Regions from separate parts of the Mus musculus genome. Here all the other regions are reported to be linked to region 3. The links are microRNA targets in miRTarBase. Many come from high-throughput screens and were not tested one by one. Region 3 holds a microRNA gene; each other region holds the end of a gene's coding sequence.

Region 1 (3,000 bases), not on the chromosome of region 3:
AGTGTCTGAGGCTCACAATGACCCAGATGTTGTCAGAGGTTAGATCTACTTATGCAATGGCCTTTTTTTGGCCTCTGGTCCTATTCCTCCCAAACTAATATCCATTGTATCTTTGCAGAACATCCCAACCCAGGACAGGCTGGAAGGAATGGCAGCCTTCAGGGAGAAACGAGCTCCCAAATTTGTGGGCAAGTGACCCAGCTAACTTTAAGCACACACCATAAAGTCTAGATCATCCAGAGAACCAAGGTACTGACCATGCAGTGCACTGCCACCTTCCATACTGCTCACCTTGGCTAGTGACTGGACTCTCTGCATTCAAAAACTTCGGGTCTTTGTCATTGGCTCTGATCACCATGGATAGAGCAATGAGGACTTACTTACTCTCACAGAGTTTCTTTGAGTTAGTGTCAGGAGCCCTCCAGCTCTCTGTAACGCAAGGGGAATTCTGGACAAACTATTTAACCTCTCTATCAGTCTCTCTGATATCCCTGTGTTAATAAACATGCTGCAACTGTTAGCTTGTGCTGGAATTGTTGGGGCTGGGATGCCTTGGGGGGTGGGGGGCAGGAAGACCTTTCTTTAGTAGTCTCCAGGAGCACTGACAAAGAGAAGAGACAGGGAATCAGGTGGGCAACAGTGGACCTGGTGCCTGCAGGACAAGCGGCATTTGAATTGGCACCAGCAAAGGTGAGTTGGAAGGTGTCAGCTTGGAAAATAAAGGGGATACAGAGTCAGCTCCTCAGACCTCTGCATACCTAAGTGCCTGCCTCCTCTCCTAGCAAGGTTGCCTAGGGATCACCCTCCACCAAGACCTGAGCTCTGGCTGAGCATCCTCAGCACAAGCTTGGTCTGGAGTCATGGAAGCATGGGTTGGGACACACACCAGCTATATTGCTGATGTGCTGCCAAAGCTTCAAGAGTCAGGGCCTTAGAATCAACACCATCCTCACAGCCAACCTTCCTGATCTGCTGAGTAAGCAGAGGACCCCAGTGGACTATTAGGAAAAACAAACTTGAAGGGGTACCCGGTATAGAAAGATGCTGTTGTGAGATAGAGAAAGAGACCGACCTTTTGGACAGGGATAGTATGAGAGCAAGATGTAGCTACCAGTGTCTCCTGGCTTCAATAGCAGATCTGAATAATAGATTCACCACCAAAGGATTTAGATTTAATAAGGCTTAGAAGATTAGGATTTTAGTTGCTGCCCTGAGCCAAGAGATTGGGTTACTGTCATTTCTGAACTAAGTTTGTATTGTGTTTTCCTTCACATGGCGGTTCATCTGGGTTCAAGAGAGAGAGCTCTAGATACATCCCACACCGGAGTGCAGGTCATGTTGATTCATTTATATGTATATGTCACAAAAATAGTTAAAATAAGGAACCTGTAAACTTGGGGGGGTGGGGGTGGAGACAAGAGGTGAGGTGTAGGGGAAAGAAAAGGGATGAGATAAATGATGGGATTATATTTTACTTAAATAAAAAAAGTAAAATGTCTTAGGAAAAGGGGGGGAGGATATGTTTTGGTGGATATGTTTGGTATCAGAGGAAGGTTTGGGGGAAGGAGGTGCCTCTGTGGACCCATGCTGGCATCCCTTCCCCCTGAGGTACCAGGTATAGTATAGAATACATTTAGGGTATGGCTAGGGGAGTAGCAGAGAGAGAGACCAGCCATGAGCATAAGGCTGGCTTACCTTCATCTCCTTCTCATTGCTGGGACTGTAGTCTAGAATGTGGCTTAGGATAGCTAAGGATGAGTTTCTTCCTCAGCTGATGCTCAAGTGAGTGAGTGAGTGAGTGACAGGGCTCGCTTGCTGCTCTTGAGCAGAGGACCCAAGCTTGGCTCCCAGCTGACACCTGCCTGTAACCCTTGCTCCAAATTCAATACTCTTTTGCCCTCTGCAGGTGCTTACTTGCACGCGTGCATGGATGTACACACAAACATGCGTGTACATACTAAGTCCGGACCACACTAGCTAAAAGCACAAAACTCTAACATCCAGGGCCTGCAGAGATGGCTCAGCAGTTAAGATCATCTGCTGCTCTTCCAGAGGACTGGGGTTTGGTTCCCAACACCCATGTGGTGGCCCCAGTTCCAGTCCTGACCTTAGTGGACACCAGGCTCAAACATGCAAAACTCTCTCTCTCTCTCTCTCTCTCACACACACACACACACACGCACAGAGGAATTTGCTATTTACTTCCATTCTTCAAAACTTGACTGAGTGAAAACTACTTCTCAACAGGGAAAGGAAGGCGTCCACACTCTGTTCCAGTTTTGCAGGACAGACTGGATGGTGTTCACTACTGCCAGGGATGGTTCTCATAAAACCACCCGCTTTGTGTCCACATCAGGAAAAGCATGCACTGAAATGTTCTGCAGTCTTTTTCTCTCAGCTTTGGTCAGAGCTTTTCCAAAGTGAGAATTTCCAATGTATTCTAACTTCAGTCCAGGCCTGCGCTTCAACCCCACACATTCACACACTCAATGATCTGATTCCTCAAATTGGAGGGAAAAGAACATTAAAGGCGCCAGGGTGTGGCAGCTCATGCTGGAAGCCCCAGCACTGAAACAGCAGGATTGCTGAGCTCAAGGCCAGTCTCGGCCACACATAACCTGGAGCAGCTGAGGAAATGGAACAAGACCAAGGTCTCCCTAAAGTTTCCTTCCCTCTTCTGAAGGAATAGAAAGGACCCAATCATTTCTTGTTTTCTCAAGACAGGGTTTTTCTGTGTAGCCCTGGCTGGACTCAAATCACAGAGATCCACCTGTCTCTGCCTTCCACGGCCCAGCCCAGGACCCAATCTTTTTGTCACAGAGAAAAGTAACCAGTCAATTGATAAATGCTAACAATTGGTAAACCCAAAAACTGGTTTCAAACTCCCATTGCTCAAAGACAAAAAGAAACCCTGTCTTTAAGAAGCAGCACCCCTGAAAGGCCGCTAGGTCACAAAGGGCCCTGGGGTTGTGGAGGTCTCCGGTCGCTTGTGAAGTGCAT
Region 2 (3,000 bases), not on the chromosome of region 3:
GTGAATGTCAGAGACTCTGATGACAACAGTCCCCTACATATCGCGGCTCTGAATAACCATCCAGACATCATGAATCTCCTTATTAAATCAGGTGCACATTTTGATGCCACAAACTTACACAAACAGACTGCCAGTGACTTGCTGGACGAGAAGGAGATAGCTAAAAATTTGATACAGCCCATAAATCATACCACATTGCAGTGTCTTGCTGCTCGTGTCATCGTGAATCATAGAATCTATTACAAAGGGAACATCCCAGAAAAGCTAGAGACCTTTGTTTCACTTCATAGATGATAATTTGATTGTGCTTCAGCACCGTTAAAGCACGGAGTGGGAACAGTTGTAATGAGCACTGTTGTGATAACACCAGCATCCATTAGCTTGATATCATTGCTCCCATTGGCTAAAGCATTGTAAGCATCAAATGTGCAGGGTTGGTTTCCCAGTGTTTAATATAAATATACCGTATAATATATTGTTGTGAATTATTGAGAAATGTCATGTCATATTCAAATTTCTAAAATTGTCTGCCAAAGGCCATTCTGATTTTGTTTGCTGTTGGGTGTTTGGGACAGAGTTAACTGTTTTTCAGTGATGTCTATATTTTACTAGTATGTGAATTTTATACAATTGGAAGTCATCCTCCCCTGGCTCCCACTTCTGTCTTCAAGTTTTGCCTGTTTCCACTTTTTCTCCCAAACCATTTCTGCTACAGTGTTCCCTGAACCGTTGGGTCCATGCTAAGTCATAAACCTTATGGACTTGTTTACCATTTGCAGTTACCATAAGTGCTTTATCTTCTCTATGCACCGGCTTAAACTGGGACTGTTGTGTGTTGGCATATTCTCTATGCAGCAGTTGGTCAACTTCAACTCAAAACACTGTTTCCTTACGTTCCGTTCCGGAGTCCATTTCACAAACGTACTCTCAGAGCATGTCGCTTTCTAGAGTTGCCGGTAAGCTGTTCGAGCTCAAGCTTTTTAAAATTTTATGTTTTGGTTTTGCTTTATTTTTTCACATCTGAGGTTTCTTTCTTCAGTCCACAGAAAATTTTGTATGCTAAATTTGGGAAACAAATCTATTACAAGTCATTAACCCAGTTGAAATTTAGGTCTGTCATCTTAGGCTAGCGTGCAGTAAAGGAAGACCTTTGTAGAGTGAACTGCCTTTCATACCGCTCCAGCGTCGTCTCCGGCGTCGTCCTGCTTGTGCTGATGGTGTGACTAGGTGTATCGAATCTGCTTCCGTTTAACCTCAGACGTTATCACACAGCCTAACGACTCACATTGAGCTCTCAGTCATGAACTGCAGACCACTTTTAGTTACAAAGAGGCTAGAGCATGTCAGTGGCATGATGCTTGCCAAGCCAGCCCTAGGCATCTAAGATAATTACGGTATTTTAGTATGCGGTGTACTGCCATAGGACCAGAGGTCAGTAACAGTGTTCTTTCTTTCTTGCTTCAGGTTTATGTATATCTGTTAAAGATAACGTGCATGAATTACTTTATCTCAATTATTTGTCACCCTATTAAACACAAGAGATTGCACAGTGATTTCTGTCCCCTTAATGAAAGCGCCTCCTTCTGTTCTCCTCTTCCCCTCCCTTCCACCTCCCTCCTCCCAGGTCCCCCCCCCCCCCCCCGTTTTTTTTCCTGTTGTAGATTTGTTAATGCTGCAGAAAGGGCTCCTTTGACTTAAGAGAAGATAAGTGGAAATGAAAAAGATTCAGGTAATCACTCAGCACTTTACCGTAATTCAGTAGAATCTACAATGACTGCTACATTGCCCTACATATGTCATAAAGAATTTGTTCTGAATGAAAAGCTTCTTGATTCTAGCAGAGAGTCAATTCGCCTGTGAACTTCACGATCTGGGCCACTTGGATTTAGGGATGACATTTTATTCTGAGGGTTGATGAACTGCCACTTAAAGAATTACATATAATGAAATTCGTCTTTATTCAGTAAACATTTGTAATGGGTAGTAAATAAAGAACATTAGACTTTTCATCAAACAATTGAGGTTTAATTCTTTAAAATGTATCCTTACTCATTTTACTACATTTTAAATTACATTTTACCTTTGGAAAATGGATTAGTTATCAATGGGCTCTTAAAATCGTTGATAAAAAAGGTTTTACTGTGTTTTTTTTACCATGGACAAGTCTGATAAAATATTTGAGCTGCTATATATAAGAATAATATGTCATTGAGACATATCCTAACAATATTTTGAAATTATCTCTCTCTAATGGGTGTCGTGAGAGTTATCTATGAGTGAGCCACTATTTTTATTTTTATATTTAAAAAGAAAATAAAACTTGTCCATTTTCATGAATCATCATTGGTTGATTTCACTTTTTGGGTAAAAGATGATAATTTGATTTTAGGGTTTAATGTCTTTCTCCCCTCTTTGCCCAGAAGAGTCTGGCTTACCCGCTCATAGAGCAGGGCACATCTTCACACTGTTTTACACATGCACTGGAATTTTCGTAGCCCTGTATGAATAAGGATATCTTTGCTAGTGGCTTCCTTCACTACGAATAGATAACAGAACTGGTTCTTACTTAGTCTTGAAAACTGCAGCATTGTATTGCAGTCAGGATGCAGCTCTCCCTCTTCTGTTTGCCTTCTCCAGAAATGTCCCTTGGAGCTCTTGAAAAAGCTGTTTAGTAGCTCAAATTAGCATTGAATTTATTTTAGAGTGAATTGGTTCAGGAGTGCAACCTCAGATAACTGTTAGGGCCTTCATCAGACATGTGTGAGACCGATTAAAATAAAATTCTGAAGTTTGTGTTTTGTTTTGTTTTTTTTGTCCATGGTGAGGAAATGATCTAATTGTACTCACTTGAATCAAACAATATACATGGTAGTATTGGCTGGAATTAATGTGCAGGTCTCAACATTGTTTCTCCAGAAATACTTCTGAATTTCAGACGTTCTACAATTTTGATCATTTCTGTAAAAGAAATGGTTATTTTATTCAGATACCAGTCTCCTT
Region 3 (3,184 bases):
CCCCAAGGCGCCCGGTCGCCATGGCGACCGGAAGACTAAATGGAACAGGAAGTAAGTTATCCGTAGAGCTTCCGGGAGGTCCGCCTGGCGGGGGCGGGGATCCGGCCGTGGACTCTCCTGAATGGACCAGAGCGATCGAGCATGCCAAGTGAGCTTACATTCTACCCACGCCTCCAGCTCTCCCTCCCGATGGCCTTTCCTGTATTCATGAGCCCTAACCTCCAAATTTGAGGGTCCATTTTTCCTCCTTTTTAAAAAAATCGTCACCCCGAATTATTACTTTGATAACGGATCTTTGTTACCAGGCAAGACACTTTGCCACCAAAGTTTCACATCTTTGTGTTTATGTCTCTTTTTTCTTTTTCTGCCCCATTTAAACAAATTAAAGGCCAGACGCACGAGACGAAATGTCAAAGGAATAAGGCTGTACCATTAATGACACTTTGTTTTTCAAGACAGGGTTTCACTGTGTAGCCATGGCTGTCCTGGAACTCTTTGTAGACCAGAAAGTCCTTGAACTCAGAAATCCACCTGCCTCTGCCTCCTGAGTACTGGGATTAAAGGTGTGTGCCACCACTCGTGTCTTCCATTAAAGACTCTTTACCGCCTACTTGGAAAAGTAACGAAACAAAGCAAAATTTGAGTTCTGATTATTGGTACGCCTTTCCTCGGCTGCGGTATGGAATGTCTTTATTCCCAGTAAAAGCCCAATCGGATAGAATTGCCCATCTTGATACCCGAGGAATTAGTCATCATGATTCCAGGATTACCAGCCTTTAATGTTTTTCCTTTAAACTGGTGTTACCGGCACCTTTGGTTCTTTAGGCAACTGGTCAGTTTAAGACAAATGTGATGATGAGAAGACCCAAATAAGCAGAGCTCTCAGGTAGAGCAAGCTGCAGGTGAGCTTTTCTATGTCCAAACTCTTTCGTTTCCAAGTAACGTGAAACTCCACTTCCCCCAGTAATGAATGAATCCAACCGGTGAACTTTGCTCCGGAGAGGAGTGACATCTAGAGATAGGAAAAGTTCGGGAAGGCCGGGGCTATGAGGCCCTGTTTGGGAGGTGCCGAAAGAGCACTGGGCGGACACGACATTCCCGATGGCTTCTTGGGTGCCCACTCAACGGGAGTGATCGTGTCATTCCAAAGCACTTTCCATGCTGTGGTGTGGGTTCAGCTGCTAGCAGGGCTGGGACCCACCAGCAAGTTGGTGATTTTAGCTACTCTCCCTCCATGAAGACGGTTGGGGTGGGTTTTCCCCAGGAAGTGAAGATCTATCTTTAGCGAGCTGCGGGCTGGGCGGCCTTGTGGGACTCACCGCCATTGCGGCCCTTCAGAGAGAGGACCCAGGACCTCCCTGGTCAGAGTTCTCCAGGGATTCCAGACAGGGCCATCAGCCCGAGCTTTTTTCGTCGCCTCTGACTGCCACCATCAGTCTGGGGGTGCACCTGAGAGATGGAGATCAGAATGGCCCAGTAGTGTAGTGTTTCTGAGAATAGAGACCACATTATCTGGGCCAGGGCGCTGCTCAGGCAGGAGAGCAGGGAACGAAATCCAAGTGCAGCTGGAATGCTCTGGAGACAACAGCTGCTTTTGGGATTCCGTTGCCCGCTGTCCAGCCATTGGAGGAGGGCTCTTGCTCCCAGGTCACTCGCCCTGAGGCCAAACCGGAACCCGCCCATCCCTTCCCAGTGGGCTGAGTAGGAAGGAGTAGGTGTTTTAAACCAGTCTAGTGAGAATGAGACGCTCACCTGGGCCCCAGAACAATAGAAGGTGGGGGCATCCCCCGGGACGAGGTCCTGATCCGGATTAGATCAGAAGGGCTGGATTAGCCCTGTGAGTCCCAAGCAGGAGCCACTTGTACCGGGCAGGCTTCGGAATCCGTCAAGAGGGAAGCGATTCCGTGAGACCCGAGAGGAAGTAAACCCATGTGTCCACTTCTGGGACTCCCCAAAGCTTAGGACCTTTTGTCTGGTGACGGTGCCAGCTCATGAAGTGCCAGGGGCCAAACTGGCCCACATAGCAGCGGCAGGACAGCCTCCCCCCAAGCCCATTGCAACCGGCCCTGCAAAGAACCCCACAGCCAAGCCCCATTTGTGTCAAGCATCCCACCCGTCTAGTCCAGCGGATAGAGAACGCGACAAAGTTCCTCTGAGGCCAGGACAGAACCGGTGCGCAGAGATGCCCATGCCGCGGGACGCCAAGGACTCATGCGCCAGTAGGCCCTAGACTCAGCTCAAGACAGGGGGAGGGAGACTCTCGGTACGCGCGCGCAGAGCGCGCAAGGGCGGGGTGGTGCTCCAGGCGCGGTCTACTTCACGTCTGGTCCGGTTTGGCCCAGTCAGTCCCACTCGAACAGCTACTCCAGCACTGCCACGGCGTGCCCTTCCGCTGGCTCTAGCTGTCCCCAGACTTGGAGCCATTTTAAGGAGAAACCATCTGGCCACACCCCCTCGCGCTGCCGGGAAGCCAATCCATGCTCGGCCACGCCTCTCATGGAGCGCTGCGCCGTCGCCAACGGTCGCGCTGGTGACGGTTGGGGAAAGCAGCGATTTCGAGACTAGCTAGGGAAATTTTAGCCATCTGCCCCGCCCCCGGAGCCCGATTCTCCAAAGCCTGGGATTAAGGGCCTGGAGGCTGGCACCACACCCTGGCCAGGTGTTCATAACAGGACCAGGTGCGCAGCTGCCCCGCCCTGGTCCCTGGGAGCCCGAATAATGGCTGAGAATCCCAGGAACAGGCCGCGGCAGTGGCCTAAACAATACCCTTAGGGCGCCCGTACTAGCAGGTGTTTTTCCCCCTCCTCCTTAGGGACTGTCGCTGGAGGCATGGGGCGGGGTGGGCGACAGGTGCTGACACACCCGCATGGGGAGACAGAGGCTCTGCATTGGCCTACTGCGCCGTTCAAGGTGCGCGGTGCCCTCCGGGACGCAAGGGGCGCTGTGGCTACTTTGAGACAGACAACTCTGTCCCTACGACCGGGTCGTTAAGCGCCGTTGCAGCCATGGCTACTGCTCTAGGATTTCGCTGCCTTTTCCGAACGCGACCTGCGCCGCTCTGTCGGCACGTCGACCGGCTGTGGTGAGCATCCCCTGTCCAGCCTCTGACCACTTGGCCTCGGACCTTTCAATCCCGCATAGTCCGGCCGGGCCACGACTTCCTGACTTTAGCCCTCCGCAGGAG

Evidence for each region. Region 3 holds the annotated microRNA mmu-miR-425-5p (AAUGACACGAUCACUCCCGUUGA, at 1,122-1,144, opposite strand). A microRNA usually pairs through its seed, bases 2 to 8, with sites in the 3' UTR of a target mRNA and lowers its output. Matches are read on the target gene's strand: a 7mer-m8 pairs with bases 2 to 8, a 7mer-A1 pairs with bases 2 to 7 and ends in A, and an 8mer does both.
Region 1: the mRNA of Echdc2 is a reported target of mmu-miR-425-5p. The part of its 3' UTR that is shown has no 7-base or 8-base seed match.
Region 2: miRTarBase lists Fem1c as a target of mmu-miR-425-5p. Seed matches in the 3' UTR shown: 7mer-A1 at 502-508.

The regions. Positions count from the first base shown.
Region 1 is chr4:108,178,789-108,181,788 of GRCm38, forward strand. It overlaps Echdc2 (enoyl Coenzyme A hydratase domain containing 2), which reads left to right. Exons shown (of 10, transcript NM_026728.4): 10 at 119-520. The coding sequence ends at 196. It also overlaps a transcript of Zyg11a not described here. Among named protein-coding and RNA genes, the nearest start is that of Echdc2, 15 kb to the left of the region's middle.
Region 2 is chr18:46,502,374-46,505,373 of GRCm38, reverse strand. It overlaps Fem1c (fem 1 homolog c), which reads left to right. Exons shown (of 3, transcript NM_173423.4): 3 at 1-768. The coding sequence ends at 294. Among named protein-coding and RNA genes, the nearest start is that of Fem1c, 22 kb to the left of the region's middle.
Region 3 is chr9:108,566,749-108,569,932 of GRCm38, reverse strand. Mir425 (microRNA 425) reads right to left here and starts at 1,156; the gene lies at 1,072-1,156. It overlaps Ndufaf3 (NADH:ubiquinone oxidoreductase complex assembly factor 3), which reads left to right and starts at 2,497. Exons shown (of 5, transcript NM_023247.2): 1 at 2,497-3,082; 2 at 3,182-3,184. The coding sequence starts at 3,006. It overlaps Mir191 (microRNA 191), which reads right to left and starts at 1,614; the gene lies at 1,541-1,614. Dalrd3 (DALR anticodon binding domain containing 3) reads right to left here and starts at 41. Exons shown (of 12, transcript NM_026378.3): 1 at 1-41. The coding sequence starts at 22.